Linked DNA regions of Macaca fascicularis. The protein of the gene in region 1 purifies or fractionates together with the protein of each later gene. This does not show direct contact. Links are inferred from orthologs where the notes say so. Each region holds a gene or a part of one and is shown on either strand. Other genes may lie near its edges.

Region 1 (5,168 bases):
TATATTTAGAGACACAGTCTCACTCTGTTGTCCAGGGTGTAGTACAGTGGCATGATCTAGGCTCACTGCAACCGCTGACTCCCGGGTTCAAGTGATTCTTATGTCTCAGCCTCCCAAGTAGCTGAGAATACAGGCGTGTGCCACCATGCTCAGGTAATTTTTGTATTTTTAGTAGAGACCAGGTTTTGCCATGTTGGCCAGGCTGGTCTTTTAACTCTTGGCCTCAAGTGATCCATCCACCTCGGCCTCCCAAAGTGCTGGCATTACAGGCATGGGCCATTGCGCCTGACCTTGTTCATGTTTTTTATTTCTGTAAAATTGCTTTTTCTTAGCAGTGAAGTATATAACCACTAGAACACTCTGCTTTGGCATGTAGCATTTTTTATTCATTCACAAATGAGAATGTATTATTTCCTACTTTGAAAGTGCTGTTTGAAAAAAAGTACTACTTTGAAAAGAGCTAATGTATGCTCATAATAAATAATTCAGTGATTATTGGCAAATAGTGTATGTGTATTTAAAGCATGTGTGTTTACTACATATAATTTTCATTAAAATTTAACATACTTTGGCTTTTGTTCGATGTTTAAAACCCACATGTAGGGTTTTATTAAACCTTTTTTTGTAAATTTTATTCTTTGCAAAAATGGCTTTTTTTTTTTTTTTTTTTTTTGAAGCAGGGTCTCACTGTGTTATTTAGGCAAGAGTGCAGTGGTGCAGTCACGGCTCACTGCAGCCTCAACCTCCTGGGCTCAGGTGATCCTCCCACCTCAGCCACCCAATTAGCTGGAACTCAGGTGTGTACAACCACACCTGGCTATTCTCTTGTATTTTTTGTAGAGAAGAGGTTTTGCCATGTTGCCGAGACTGGTTGTGAACTCCTGGACTTGATCAAACCACCTCAGCCTTTCAAAGTGCTGAGATTACAGGCATGAGCCACCATGCTAAACCAGCTGGCATTTCTAACTAGGATTTCTTTTTACCTCAATTATATTAGTAATATTTGACGCTGGGCGCGGTGGCTCATACCTGTAATCCCAGCACTTTGGGAGGCCAAGGCAGGCAGATCACGAGATCGGGAGATCGAGACCATCCTGGCTAATACGGTGAAACCCCGTCTCTACTGAAAATACAAAAAAAAAAACATTAGCTGGGCATGGTGGCGGGTGCCTGTAGTCCCAGCTACTCGGGAGGCTGAGGCAGGAGAATGGCGTGAACCTGGGAGGCGGAGCTTGCAGTGAGCCAAGATTGGGCCACTGCATTCCAGCCTGGGAGACAGAGTGAGACACCGTCTCACCAAAAAAAAAAAAAAAAAAAATATGTTAAAATTAAGTGCTGGTCAGTCAGTGGTCACAAAATGTTTGGTTTGTCCCTTTGTGATTTTTCAAATATTATTAATTTTTCTTTTTAAAATTAATTTTTGAGACAGAGTCACACTCCGTTGCCCAGGCCAGGGTGCAGTATCGTGATCTCGGCTCACTGCAACCTCCACCTCTTGGGTTCAAGTGATTCTCTTGCCTCAGCCTCCTGAATAGCTGGGACCAGAAGCCTGAGCCACTACAGTAGTTTTTGTGGAGACAGGGTTTCGCCATGTTGGCCAGACTGGTGTCAAACTCTTGTGCTCAAGTGATCCACCTGCCTCAGCCTTCCAAAGTGCTGGGATTTCAGGTGTGATCCACTGCTCTCAGCCATGTAAATTTCTCTGTGAACATAATTTATTTCTGGGTCAAAAGGTATAGGGATTTTCTACATTTCATGCTATATGGGGTTCCATAAGAGAAAGGAGTTGATTTGTCATCTTATTTTAATGTTTCTGCCAGCATCAAAACCTAATTTTGGAGGACTTACTTTTTTTTTTTTAAAAAACAAGAGTTAGATTAATTAAGAATTTTTTTCCTATGGAAGTTTTTTATTTTTGTCACTATTAAATGTTTTTGAGTCTATATTAAGACTTCAGATTTTCAAACAAAGATTTTCTTTTTTTAACCGTTCCAATTTGCATGACTCAATGGTCATGGCTTTTGGTATTTTTAATAATTAAGTATAATTGAAAGGAATGCATGTATTATAATGCAAATTTGATAATTATCACTTTAGTTACCATAAAATTACTTTTTAATGCCTTATTTTAGGGGGAAGGTAGTAAATCTCCTGGAAGGTATTAAAAAAAACTATCCTAGTATCGTGTTGGAGGATTTAACTCCATTAATATGTTTATTCCTTTATTTTTATTTGATTTTGCTTATTTTTCAATTTTTACTATTTTTTCTTAAAGATTCAGATTTTTAAGGTGACTTATGAAGTTTTCTGTGATCTTTCTTTGAAACCTTGTCAGCTTTATCTCATATTCACTTTACTTACAAGCCATAGTCACACAGCCTGATTTTTATTTCTCAGCTTTCAGATGTGCTCATTATCTTAACATTATCCTTTTGACCTTGTGATATTTAAAGGGGAAGACTTCTCTAATTTTGTAGATGAGATTAGAATCTCCTTGTTATTACAGCCCTTGTATTTACTCTTTGGCACTCATGACAAGTGCCATTTTATTCTTGCTGTAGAGTCATGTCTTACTTGAAAATTAGGTTGTAAAGTTAGTATGTAAAGCAGAAATTACTTTCTCCCTTGAAGTGTTTCATTTTAATCTCCCTCAAAGTGTTTAGTTTTTGTTTGTGCAATCTTATAACAGGTATGGTAAATATAATTTGTGTAGTAATATACAATATTTGCTAGGGTTCAGACGTGAAATGTAGCATTTTAGATCAAAGAATGAAAATAAACATGTTTGTTATACAGATTTCTGTTTTAAGTATGCATGTAATACAGGTCCATCATATGTATTTGTGATTTTGTGTTTACTAGACTATAAATACAGTGAGCTCAGGGACTGTCCTTGCTTTGTTCACTATTGATTTAGTAATAATTATAGTATCATAATAAATAACAGTATAATAATATAGTAATGCTCCTGTAATTTAGTAATAATAAACCCGACTGGCTCTCAATATTTTAAAAGTAATTATCCAAGAATATCGCAAAAATGAAAAGTAAATTATGCTAAAAGGAAAAGGGTGTATAATTTCCTATTGTACTCTCATCTATATTTTTTAATACAAAGACTAGTAACCCTAAAATTTTGAATTTATTTACTTCTTATGAGTAAAAATTAATGGCTACTTTTTTCTTCTTTTTTTTCTTCTAGGAGGGTATACAAGGAAAGGTTAGGACTTCCTCCAAAGATAGTGATTGGTTATCAGTCCCACGCAGACACAGCTACTAAGAGCGGCTCCACCACTAAAAATAGGTTTGTTGTTTAAGAAGACACCTTCTGAGTATTCTCATAGGAGACTGCGTCAAGCAATCGAGATTTGGGAGCTGAACCAAAGCCTCTTCAAAAAGCAGAGTGGACTGCATTTAAATTTGATTTCCATCTAAACGTTACTAAGATATAAGAGAAGTCTCATTCGCCTTTGTCTTGTACTTCTGTGTTCACTTTTTTTTTTTTTTTTTTTTTTTTGGCTAAAGTTTCCACTATCCCAATCAAAGAATTACAGTACACATCCCCAGAATCCATAAATATGTTCCTGGCCCACTCTGTAATACTTCAGTAGAATTACCATTAATTACATACAGATTTTACCTATCCACAATAGTCAAAAAACAACTTGGCATTACTATACTTTACAGGAAAGAAAATTCTGTTGTTCCATTGTATGCAGGAGCATATTTGCTGGTTTGAAAGATTATGATGCATACAGTTTTCTGGCAATTTTCTTTGTTTTTACAGCATTGTCTTTGCTGTACTACCTATCCACAATAGTCAAAAGACATCTTGGCATTACTGTACTTTACAGGAAAGAAAATTCTGTTGTTCCATTGTATGCAGGAGCATATTTTGCTGGTTTGAAAGATTATGATGCATACAGTTTTCTAGCAATTTTCTTTGTTTCTTTTTACAGCATTGTCTTTGCTGTACTCTTGCTGATGGCTGCTAGATTTTAATTTATTTGTTTCCCTACTTGATAATATTAGTGATTCTGATTTCAGTTTTTCATTTGTTTTGCTTTTGTTTTTTTCCTCATGTAACATTGGTGAAGGATTCAGGAATATGACACAAAGGTGGAATAAACATTAATTTTGTGCATTCTTTGGTAATTTTTTTTGTTTTTTGTAACTACAAAGCTTTGCTACAAATTTATGCATTTCATTCAAATCAGTGATCTATGTTTGTGTGATTTCCTAAACATAATTGTGGATTATAAAAAATGTAACATCATAATTACATTCCTAACTAGAATTAGTATGTCTGTTTTTGTATCTTTATGCTGTATTTTAACACTTTGTATTACTTAGGTTATTTTGCTTTGGTTAAAAATGGCTCAAGTAGAAAAGCAGTCCCATTCATATTAAGACAGTGTACAAAACTGTAAATAAAATGTGTACAGTGAATTGTCTTTTAGACAACTAGATTTGTCCTTTTATTTCTCCATCTTTATAGAAGGAATTTGTACTTCTTATTGCAAGGCAGTCTCTATATTATGTCTTCTTTTGTGGTGTCTTCCATGTGAACAGCATAAGTTTGGAGCACTAGTTTGATTATTATGTTTATTACAATTTTTAATAAATTGAATAGGTAGTATATATATGGAATTAAATTGATGTGGCTATCTTTGTTTTTTATAAAGTAAGGCACAGTCCTTCAGTCTTAGGTAAATAATGTACTCTCTTAATATGTTAATACTCATGAGAATTGGGATCTGATGCATCACCATTTGATTGGTAGCAACAGTGGTTGTAAAACTTGGTTGCTGAATTGAGTTGTTTTTATGTAAGTGTCAAAATGATAGTGTAGGGAAAGTACAGGTGGTGGGAACATAATGCATTAAGAATTTTGTTAGTGTTGCAATCTAAATAGAATGGAATAAACAGGTATTAAGACATATTTATAGTGGTAAATTGTTGTAGTATGGTATTCTGTAAACTTGAAAACTTGATCTACTCTTTGTAGGTATCATTTGAAAGCAAACTTGAAAATGTTTTGTACATAGTACATACTTGTATAGTCCTGTGAAATGAAGTATGGCTATCAGACCAAAGGATAAGCCAAACTGTAGGTAGCAGAATGGAAATTATTAGTTTGAGAGGAAAATTTTGTCTTTTAATGGTGA
Region 2 (5,068 bases), on another chromosome or scaffold:
GTGACTGTTAAGCACACTCATCTGAGTGATTCTCCAGAGATATATGGATTTATCAAAAATGAGAGATTGTCAGCTTGCATATATGGAGCATCTATTAGATGCTAGGTACTGGTGATGTAGTGGTAAGCAGGCCAAGATCTCTGGTTTTGTGGAGCTAACCATGTCATCTGAAGAATGTCCATAGAGTGCTGCTCAATTACCCACAGAGAGGGATGGGTGACAGGGCAGATGGTAAAAGGAACTTCAGGCATAATATTACTGAGTCAGGAGTAATGGTGCCTGAGGAGATGGTGGTGCCTCTGCATTACTTGTACTTGCCATGGAATACTTCTCCCAATCCCTTTTCAGAAATTTTGTGGCGAGAATGGGAGGATTTCTCCACCCAGCCAGATGCTCAGGGCCTGAAGCCAGGAGATGGCCCTCAGTTCCAGTTCACTCTGATGTCTTATAACATCCTGGCTCAGGACCTGATGCAGCAGAGCTCAGAGCTCTATCTACATTGCCATCCGGACATCCTCAATTGGAACTATCGCTTCATGAACCTCATGCAGGAATTCCAGCACTGGGACCCCGATGTGAGTGAGGGGGGAGTTGCCATCTTGCATTGTTGCTGGACCTGGGCTGTTTCCCAGTGCTCTTAGAAGATGAGTTCAACCCCATAGTTGTTCAAATGATTGGAGTCCTATCTAGGGTTAGAGTTTGCCTGCCTGGTGTCAGTGAGTTGTTGGCAGATGCTGAGAAGAATCTCCCTAGGTGTGCACTTTCCAGCACCTTTATGCAGGAAGGGAGGCTTGAGGGATTCAAGGAGCAGGAAAATCCAGTGCACATGTCTAATCTCTTCAGCTTAGGTCTGGGCCTGCTCTTGCTGTTGGTGACTGGGAAGTTTCACTGTGACCCAGCAGCTTCCTACCTGGCCTCAGGACCTGCTCCTAGAGGGTGGGGGTCACATTCCAGCACTCCAGAGTGATTGGGTTTCTTGTCAATTTCCCAGATCCTGTGTCTCCAGGAAGTCCAGGAAGATCATTACTGGGAGCAGCTGGAACCCTCTCTGCGAATGATGGGTAATGCAGCTCCCTGGGATGCTTGCCAGCTTTTCTTTCTACAGCCTTGCCTACTCTCTCCTGAAGACCCCATCCTTCCCTTTTGTCTTGGTAAACCCTCAGTTGCACCTGTGAGCTAGCTCCTTCCATGTGTGCCTGAGAAAGTAGAATTCTGCAGTTTTAAAGCAATTCTGACATACATTGCTATTTGATCCTTGAAGTAACCAATGTGGTGAGACTGTTATTATTCCCATTTTACAGATGAGAAAACTGAATTTCTGAAAATTCGTGTGACTTCCTCAGAATCACAAAGCCACAAAGCTAGTAGATGTGGAGCTAGGAATCCAGCTTGTCTGACTCTAGATTCTGGGCTCTTTTCTATCATGTTACATTGCTTCATACCCTTCCCTCCTTGCCCTTCCAGCCCCTCAGTCACCTAGTTACAACTGTAAGGGGGAACCTGCTGAACCAAGGACGTGGCAAAGGCTTCTTTACTGAGTAGCAGGAACAATGCCTCAGGGGCACACACTGGGACTGCTGGTGCTGGTTGGAAGGGATTCAGGCTTTAAGGACTCTGACCCATCTCCTTGGTGGGGTTTTCCTTGCAGGCTTTACCTGTTTCTACAAGAGGAGGACCGGGTGTAAAACCGATGGCTGTGCTGTTTGCTACAAGCCCACCAGATTCCGCCTGCTTTGTGCCAGCCCTGTGGAGTACTTCCGGCCTGGCTTGGAGCTACTTAATCGGGATAATGTGGGCTTAGTGTTGCTACTGCAACCACTCGTCCCAGAAGGCCTGGGGCAAGTCTCGGTGGCCCCGCTGTGTGTGGCAAATACCCATATCCTTTACAACCCACGCCGGGGTGATGTCAAGCTGGCCCAGATGGCCATTCTCCTGGCAGAAGTGGACAAGGTGGCCAGATTGTCAGATGGCAGCCACTGCCCCATCATCTTGTGCGGGGACCTAAATTCTGTCCCTGATTCACCTCTCTACAACTTCATCAGGGATGGAGAGCTCCAGTACCATGGGATGCCAGCCTGGAAGGTGAAATGGGAGAGGCCACAGTGGGGGTGGGAACATGGTCTAGAGAGAGATTCAGCTGTGAGCATCAGTGCTGCTTCTGTGGCAGGGACCTCAGTACACCTGCTCTGGCCTGTTCCTCCTTTTTCTTGTTATGTTGAATAGCTTGTACCCAAGCCTGGAAGTTAAGAATTCTTGAGTACTTTGGCATGTTGGGATTTTTTTCAGTTTTTATCATTAATATTTTTAATTCACAAGTAGTACGTGAGTATGTACTTGGAGGAACTTAAGCATTATACAGTAAGGCACAGGCCTGTTTTATTACCCACATTCCCTTTCTATTCTCTTAGAGTCACATAATGACCGTTCTAAGTTTGGTGGTAGTCTTTTAGCTTGTTTTCTTTGCATTTACAGTGGTATCTATGTTCCTATGATATTGTAATCGGTGTTTACATTTGTTAAGCACTTAACTCTGTGCCATGTGCTATTTTGAGCACTTTATACTCATTAACTCATTAGTTTTCACAATTTCCATCATGGCTTTCATTTTATAAATGAGGAAACTAAAGCCCAGAAAAGTGAAGTAATTTGCCATAGGTTATGTGGGTAGTTAGTGGTGGAGCCAGGATTTGTAACCAGGTGGTCTGGCTGCAGAGCTCTTACCCTCAAATACTGTGCTGTGATTGCTTATAACAGCCAATATGCAATCTGCCATGTGTGTTTTATAAACATGATACACTACTATATGTTTCATTTGTAGCTTGTTTTTTTCCACTCAGCAATTTGCATATGGATCTCATTCCTTCTAACTGTTGAGTGTTGATGACAGACACCTCATAGTTTTATCAGCTTGTGCTGATTTCTTTATGTCACTTAATCTCCTTGTTCCTCTATTTTGCCCCTGCTGTTTCAATTTATTGACTAACTTTTGGCAAGGCACGATGGTGGAAGGACACAAAACGATTGAATTACTGTTGCGCACATGGGATTTTATGTAAATGAGCCAGATGTGTGCAGAGAAAGGCATGATCTTGCCCTAAAGGAGCTGTAATCAAGGAGCTCAGGGAACGAGGAAAAGAACGGACTGCCTGCCACATGACAGGCACTGTTAGGCATAGTGAATGAGAGCACTTGCTTTGAAGCCAGACAGTCCTGAATTCAGATCCCTGCTCTGCCACCTTGAGCAAATTACTTAACTTTCTTAAACCCAATTTGCCTCATCTATACAATGGGGGATATAATGGGACCTGCCTCAGAGGTGTTTTTTTGGGTGAATTAAATAAAATAATGCGTGTAAAGTGTTTTCCAGTATCTGGTTCAAAGTCAGTAACTGGTAGTGATATTAAGATTCTTAACTGTACATGGTATTATTATCCCATTTTATTTTTTTATTTATTTATATTTTGAGACAGAGTCTTGCTCTGTTGCCCAGGCTGGAGTGCAATGGCATGATCTTGGCTCACTGCAACCTCCGCCTCCTGGGTTCATGTGATTCTCCTGCCTCAGCCTCCTGAGTAGCTGGGATTACAGGAGTGTGCCACCATGCTTGGCTAATTTTTGTATTTTTAGTAGAGACGGGGTTTTACCATGTTGGCCAGGCTGGTCTTGAACTCCTGAACTCAGGTGATCCACCTACCTTGGCCTCCTGAAGTGCTGGGATTACAGGCATGAGCCACTGCTTCTGGCCTATCCCGTTTTATAGTAGGAGATATTGAACCCAAGAGAGTTAGCTAACTTGCCCAAAGTCACACAGCTATTAAGTGGCCATTGAATTGCAGATCTGTTTTACTTCAGATGACATATTGAAAATTTATGCCCTTATAGGGCAGGGGGATTCTGTCTATCACTACTCTATCCCCAGCACTTAGCTAGTGTCTTTTGGCTTTCAAATATTTGTTGTTGTTAAATGGCATAAAGGGACTTGCTACACACGTTGGAGATGTGCAGATGACTGATGTTGCCGAATGTTTCCCCTACTACGTTTTGTCCGTTCCCAGGCTGCTCATTGGCTTTGACCGAGGATGGTGACGTAGATACGGTAAAGTGCTTTGGTGCTTTCCCATTTGGTTTGACCCTGTGGTTTCCCAGTAATAGGTTCAGGATATTAGACCTTGATCCAGAAGATCCAAAGATGAGGATAAACCTTTAACCATTGCAACTTAAAGCCCCTGAGAGTTGATATTCCCTGTGGAGGAGAATTGTATTGATTTTTTGGAGGTAAAATTTAGAGAACCACATGTTCATACTATTCGATTCCCCTTGATTCAGTCTCTTATCCTCCTCCTGTTTCATGGACATTTCAGTGTTGCCAGTGAAAAAGTAATGGTTTTAATTTGGTCCTTATTTTTAACCTGCCCCTGAGACTTACATGCTTGCTTATACCATGTATGTAGTGTGTGATTGTGTGTGTTTGTATTTGTCCACATGTCCCAAAACATGGGCTGTTATTTCCTTTTTCTATCTTGGTTTCCTTATTCCCACCCTGCTCTTTCCTTGCAGGTATCTGGACAGGAAGACTTCTCTCATCAGCTTTACCAGAGGAAGCTGCAGGCCCCCCTGTGGCCCAGCTCCCTGGGCATCACTGATTGCTGTCAGTATGTCTCCTCCTGTCACCCCAAGAGATCAGGTGAGCACACGTCACATTCTTGGTTGGCTGTGTCTTCGTGTCCATTTTGGGAGAAAGCTGGTGTCTCAATGACAAGAAAAAGTGTAATCCCTCATTTCTCTTAGCATATTCTTCTGTTTTCTCACTGTCCTCCCAATGGCCGTCCAATAAAATGGACAACTTTAAATCACAGCCATTGGAAAATCTCCTTGTCTTCTGAATCCTTCCTCTGTGGATCTATGCTGGAAGTTGCTTGGTACTAAGGAGGTCTCAGCATGTTGCTTCATCTTCTTTCACTATATGGCTTTTCCTGGTTTACAGAGAGACGCAAGTATGGTCGAGACTTCCTGCTACGTTTCCGCTTCTGCGGCATCGCTTGTCAGCGACCAGTAGGATTGGTCCTCA
Region 3 (5,139 bases), on another chromosome or scaffold:
CTTTCACAGGGTTATGGAATGTAGCAGACTCCTTTTACAGATGAGGAAATTGAGACCCAAAGCCGTTAAACCACTTGCCCCCGACAGTGTGATATTCTCTCCCTATCTCGTTCGAATTTCCATTTCGATTTTAAAAATTGGGGAGAGAAGTTTTGTGTATGGTAAATTATGTGATGAGCACGAACTATTTGAATCCTGCCAGCAGAAGACCCTTTGGAGGGTGGTGGAAACCACTGCGTTTTATTTAATTCCGTCGGGCTGAGGGTCAGAAGGGAGAGGGGAAAGCGGTCGTAAGAAACCACGGATGTGCGTGTGCCGGCTCAAAGCCGGGAATCCACTAGTAAACACATCTTCTTGTATTTAAGGGCCTGCGGCACCGAAGCCAGGACTTGGGGTGGCCTGCCTGGGAGGGGGCCACGGGAAGAGGTTCCTCCGACGGCAGAAACCTGGTTCCTGCCGTTCCTCATACACCGCAGCGGCCTGAGGGTCACCCCGAGCCCAGGCCGGTAACCCCGCTGCAGCCCCTCCTGCAGGCCCAGGTTGCACCGACCACAAACATTCCCGACACCCTTGGGCCCTAGAAGAGCCGTTCGCCACCCGCAGGCTCCCCGCAACGCCGGTGTTCACCTGCCCTAAGCAGCTGGGTGCCCAGCGAGAAGCAGCTAGGGGCAAATGTAGCCCGCATTCCTGCGGAGGGCAGGGGTCCCGGGAGGGCGCGCCAGCGGCGGCTCTGGATCAGCGCGTGACTGTCTCATTGTTCCCTCACCGCGGGGGGTGGGGGCGCGCGCGCACACGTCGGGGGGTTGGCCGGGAGGGGCCATTGTGTGTTTCTAGGCGGCGCCCCCGCTGCCTAGGCAACAGCGCAGGGAGGTGTCGGGCCACCAGCGCGCCGCCGGCTCCCCTCCATTTCCCCCCGACTCCCGCCCCGTCACCATCCTACCCTCCTCCCTCCTCCTTTCCCCTTCCTCCGCTCCCCTCTTTTTCCTCCCCCTCCTCCCCTTCCCTCTGTTCTCTCCTCCTCTTCCCCGCCCCCCCGTCCCGAGCACTCTATATTCAAGCCACCGTTTCCTGCTTCACAAAATGGCCACCGCACGCGACACCTGCGGTCACGTGGCCTGCCGCCCTCTCGGTTTCGGGACTGTCTGCCTAGCTCCGACTTCGGGGAGGCTACATGCGGAAGACCGAGGGCAGATTAGACCGGAGAAATCCCACCACATCTCCAAGCCCGGGAACTGAGAAAGGAAGAAGAGTGAAGGCCAGTGTTGGAAAAAAAAAAAAAAAGAAAAACAAAAAAAACCCAAGAAAAAAACCCCGAAAAACTAAAGCTGAGTGCATAGGGTTGGAAAGGGGAGCGAAGAGGCCTAGGTTAACATTTCCAGGCCTTTTAGCTGGTGGTAAACGGGAAACGCAAGTTCTCGCGAGATCTCGAGACCTCCGAGGCTGAGACTACGGTTTTAGCGGAGAGCACGGGAAGTGTAGCTCGGGAGAACTGGGACAGCATTTGGCGCTCCAAGCTCCAAGACAGGACTGCTAGGGGCGACGGGACTAAGTAGGAAATCCCGTGAGGTTAGACCTGAGGGAGCGCGCAGTAGCCGGGCATTAGTCGCCGCGACAGGGGATTGCAGTGTGAGAGGGAGGGCACACGTTGTACGTGCTGACGTAGCGGGCTTTCAAGCGGGTATATTAGATCCGTGGCCGCGCGGTGCGCTCCAGAGCCGCAGTTCTCCCGTGAGAGGGCCTTCGCGGTGGAACAGACACACTCGCTTAGCAGCGGAAGACTCCGAGTTCTCGGTACTCTTCAGGGATGAGTCATGTGGCGGTGGAAAATGCGCTCGGGCTGGACCAGCAGGTGAGCCGCAAGGACCCCACTGGGCTGGCTGCTGCGTGAATCCCTCCTCTGACCTAACCTGGCTAATGGCGCAGCGCTAACCGGGACCCTTACTTTTCATTTCCTGGGTGCCCCGGGGCTATGGAGGGACAGGAACGTTGGTTGGGGCTGTCGCCCGGGCCCGGTCTCGGCCCGCTGTATTGTCCCCGGGACGAGCACAATGGCGGCTTTTGTGTGTGCGTGCGCAGGCGGGCGGAGGGGGGAGGGAGTGCGCGTGCTCTCGCGGGGACGCGCATGCGCGAACCCCGACTGATTAGTGACCGGGGGGGTGGTTTGCGGGAGTGCGCAGCGCGGCGGGACGCGACTGGAGACCCTTTTGGCCTGGAGGGTTTCGGCCTTCACGGCTGGCGCAGCCTGGATTACCGTCTGGAGGACCCGGCGGCATTCGGTGTTTGCGTGCCTGCGAGCAAGGGGTGGAACGCGGCCCAGGAATGTGGGAGGGGGCGGCGCGGCGGGGAGGGGGTGGCCTTCGCTTGGGGTAATGGCGGCGGTCTCTTTTGTGTGGTGCTGGGAGGCGCTGTGGCTCACTCCCGGGAGACGGCGGGTCCCGGGCGGGCGAGGGCCTGGAAAGGAGGATGGAATGGGCGTCTTGTTTTTCCCGGGTTCCTTCCGCAGGCCTTTTCGCTTCAGCCCAGGTTCCGCAGGGTCCGCAGGCCCGGCGCCGCGGCCGGGGAGGCTGCGTTTCCGGAGTGGAAAGTTTTGTGACGCAGAAGATTGGGGAGGAGTGGGGGCGGGGAGGGGAGGCAGGAATGGGCCGCTGGGCTCTGAAGATAGAGGTTAGACGCGGCGGGGAGGTTAGCCAGCGAGGCCCTTTCTCCTCCTTGCTTGGCCCAGGTTGTCCCTGTGTGGCGAGTTAGCCGGGAGCCCCGCGTTTTTCTGGAGTGGAGGGGTCATCGCGGGTTGTGGGAGTGTCTTCATGTTAGTGACTTTGATCCAGGAATCCGCCTTTGGAAAAACACCCGGCTTTTGGGGGAAGTAAACAGTTTTGTTGTTGACTTGTTGCTGCCTGTGGAGTAGAATCTCGCGATGGGTCCGAGGCCCCCCCAGTCTTTTAGACAGAATCTCCTCTTCTAAGGATTTAGGGGCAGAGGAGAGGAGGACGTGTGATCTGAGAGAAGGTTTTGGGTTTTGGTGGCAGGAAGACTGCATCCCGCCGCAACAGTGGCACCACGTTTCAGATAAGCTCTTGTGTGGGTTATGCGGAGCCTTTAAATACACTTCTGATTAGGAGTTGATTTCACAAACTCCGGAATAATCCTGGGACTAAGTTTAGTGGCACAAATTAATTGAATACGTATTTTAATGTAGTCATATGTAATATTTTTTAGGAATTGATCTGTTCCTTTGGGAGCATTTTCTCCCTGTTAATGAACCAATTATATTAAATCCTCTAATTGTTGACACTTCATATGTTGAATTGAACACAGACATTTTAACAATCTACCAGCAGCACAGAGTATTCCCAGTTTTACCATTTTCCATTTAGCTACAGTGTCCTTTTAAGGATTCTAGGCAGCAGTGAACCTTATTTAAAAAGCAAAATTGTACTATAACAAGTGCAAAAGGAAAGTTTGTGGTTCTGCCGTGCTTTAAAGTATTAACGGTAGCAAGAGAAAGCGCGGTGGTGTTTTTTCTCATAGAAATTCTGGAAATTAGGTGCCTGAAGTCTTACACTCAGCATCTGCTTCCAGTTTTCAGTGACTCCATTGATGATGCCTGCAGTTTGGCAGTATCATACTGAGCTTTAAACACAAGATTTATAAACATGGTATATAGTGTATCTTTTGCAAACAGGTTGGCAACGGTACTGTGTAACTTGGTCTTTTGTGGCTTTTTTGAGAAAAATGAAACACTTTGCATGTACAGTTTTTTCCACCAACTACTTGTGAGTAGTTCCTGGTTAGTTATACAACGTTACGAAGGTAGCATATAACCCTTTTCAAGAATGTTGAGGCTTTTGAGATACCAGTGTAAGGGAGATGGGTAGAAATATAGATGAAAGGCACTAAAACGTCCTACTCCCTAAGAGCATTGAATGCCAGTTGTACCATTTATTCAAAGTCATTTTTGAACTTCTGTTACAATGGGGTAATAAACAGGTAACTACTTCAAGCCGGGCTCATGCTTGTAATCCCAGCGCTTTGGGAGGCCAAGGCAGGTGGATCACCTGACCTGAGGTCAGGAGGCCAGCCTGGCCAACATGGCGAAACCCCGTCTCTACTAAAAATACAAAAAGCCTAGCGTGGTGGCGCACCCCTGTAATACCAGCTACTCGGGGAGGCGGAGATTGCAGTGAGCCGAGATCACACCACTGAATTCCAGCCTGGGTGACAGAGGGAGACTCTGTCTCAAAAAAAAAACCAAACGAATTAACAGTCAAACTACCTCAGAGTTGTGCTTAACATAGTGTTTTGTGTAAGTGGTTGGTATATTGCTTTTTTTTGTTGTTCTTAAGAGTACTACCCGACTAAAAATACGTAGGCAATATTTGGGGATGAAGGAACTAAAGAACGGCCAATTCAAAATTTGTCCTGACATTTTTCAGGTGTGCTTTTTAGGTTTAAAATACCAGGTACTACAGAAAGTTGGCGTTGGAAATGTTTATGACTGGCACTAAAACGAATCCCTTATCTATTTGACATTGAAGAATAATTTTGAGGTTCAGTGTAAGCTTTAGTTTGGTGATTAGGGAGCCTGTGCTATGGAACATGTTGCAGTGAAAATTCGTTTTGAATGAATGAATGAAATTTGGACAGTTTCTACTGAATAGCACAAGCATCTTGGTGTACCGCCTTCTGTAGTATATACAATAGTAATATTTTGCATTTGCCTAGAGCGTTACAGATTTGAAAGCATTCTTAGTCACTTTCTCATTAAGAGTTGGTATCAGCCCTGTGAGGTGGACTGGCCAACTACTTGAATGCAGTGCTAGCAAATGCTAGAGGGCGCGACTAGTTTTCTCTTAATACAGTATTTGAGCACATGGGGTGCTAATCATCTCACTCTCTTCTAGTTTGCTGGCCTAGACCTGAACTCTTCAGATAATCAGAGTGGAGGAAGTACAGCCAGCAGTAAGTAAAACATCTTATGGATTTATTGAATATTAGAGCTTAATGTCTTAAGATTTCATTGGGCTTATTTAAAATTTAAGAAATTTGCCTTTCAATTTTTACTGCTTAAAGAATTATGTAGTCTTTGTGTTACAGGGTTATGTAGTACCTAGTGATCAATCTAAAGCATTGTTGCCTTTT

The links.
Region 2: the proteins of EIF4E (region 1) and ANGEL1 purify together in Homo sapiens (affinity purification with mass spectrometry; 3 studies listed by BioGRID and IntAct, counting the BioPlex papers as one, with this or other methods). This does not show direct contact. The link is inferred for Macaca fascicularis from reciprocal best matches to the Homo sapiens genes EIF4E and ANGEL1.
Region 3: the proteins of EIF4E (region 1) and DDX3X purify together in Homo sapiens (co-immunoprecipitation; 3 studies listed by BioGRID and IntAct, with this or other methods). This does not show direct contact. The link is inferred for Macaca fascicularis from reciprocal best matches to the Homo sapiens genes EIF4E and DDX3X.

What each region holds. Positions count from the first base shown.
Region 1 is NC_088379.1:104,464,859-104,470,026, reverse strand, and holds the end of EIF4E (eukaryotic translation initiation factor 4E), read left to right. Parts: intron 1-3,202; coding exon 3,203-3,317; 3' UTR 3,318-4,655; downstream 4,656-5,168. UniProt on the Homo sapiens protein: Acts in the cytoplasm to initiate and regulate protein synthesis and is required in the nucleus for export of a subset of mRNAs from the nucleus to the cytoplasm which promotes processes such as RNA capping, processing and splicing.
Region 2 is NC_088381.1:144,762,231-144,767,298, reverse strand, and holds part of ANGEL1 (protein angel homolog 1), read left to right. Parts: intron 1-348; coding exon 349-575; intron 576-991; coding exon 992-1,061; intron 1,062-1,648; coding exon 1,649-2,082; intron 2,083-3,975; coding exon of another isoform or gene 3,976-4,086; exon of another isoform or gene 4,087-4,188; intron 4,189-4,557; coding exon 4,558-4,684; intron 4,685-4,984; coding exon 4,985-5,068.
Region 3 is NC_088395.1:41,333,484-41,338,622, forward strand, and holds the start of DDX3X (ATP-dependent RNA helicase DDX3X), read left to right. Parts: upstream 1-1,711; 5' UTR 1,712-1,804; coding exon 1,805-1,849; intron 1,850-4,901; coding exon 4,902-4,959; intron 4,960-5,139. UniProt on the Homo sapiens protein: Multifunctional ATP-dependent RNA helicase. The ATPase activity can be stimulated by various ribo-and deoxynucleic acids indicative for a relaxed substrate specificity.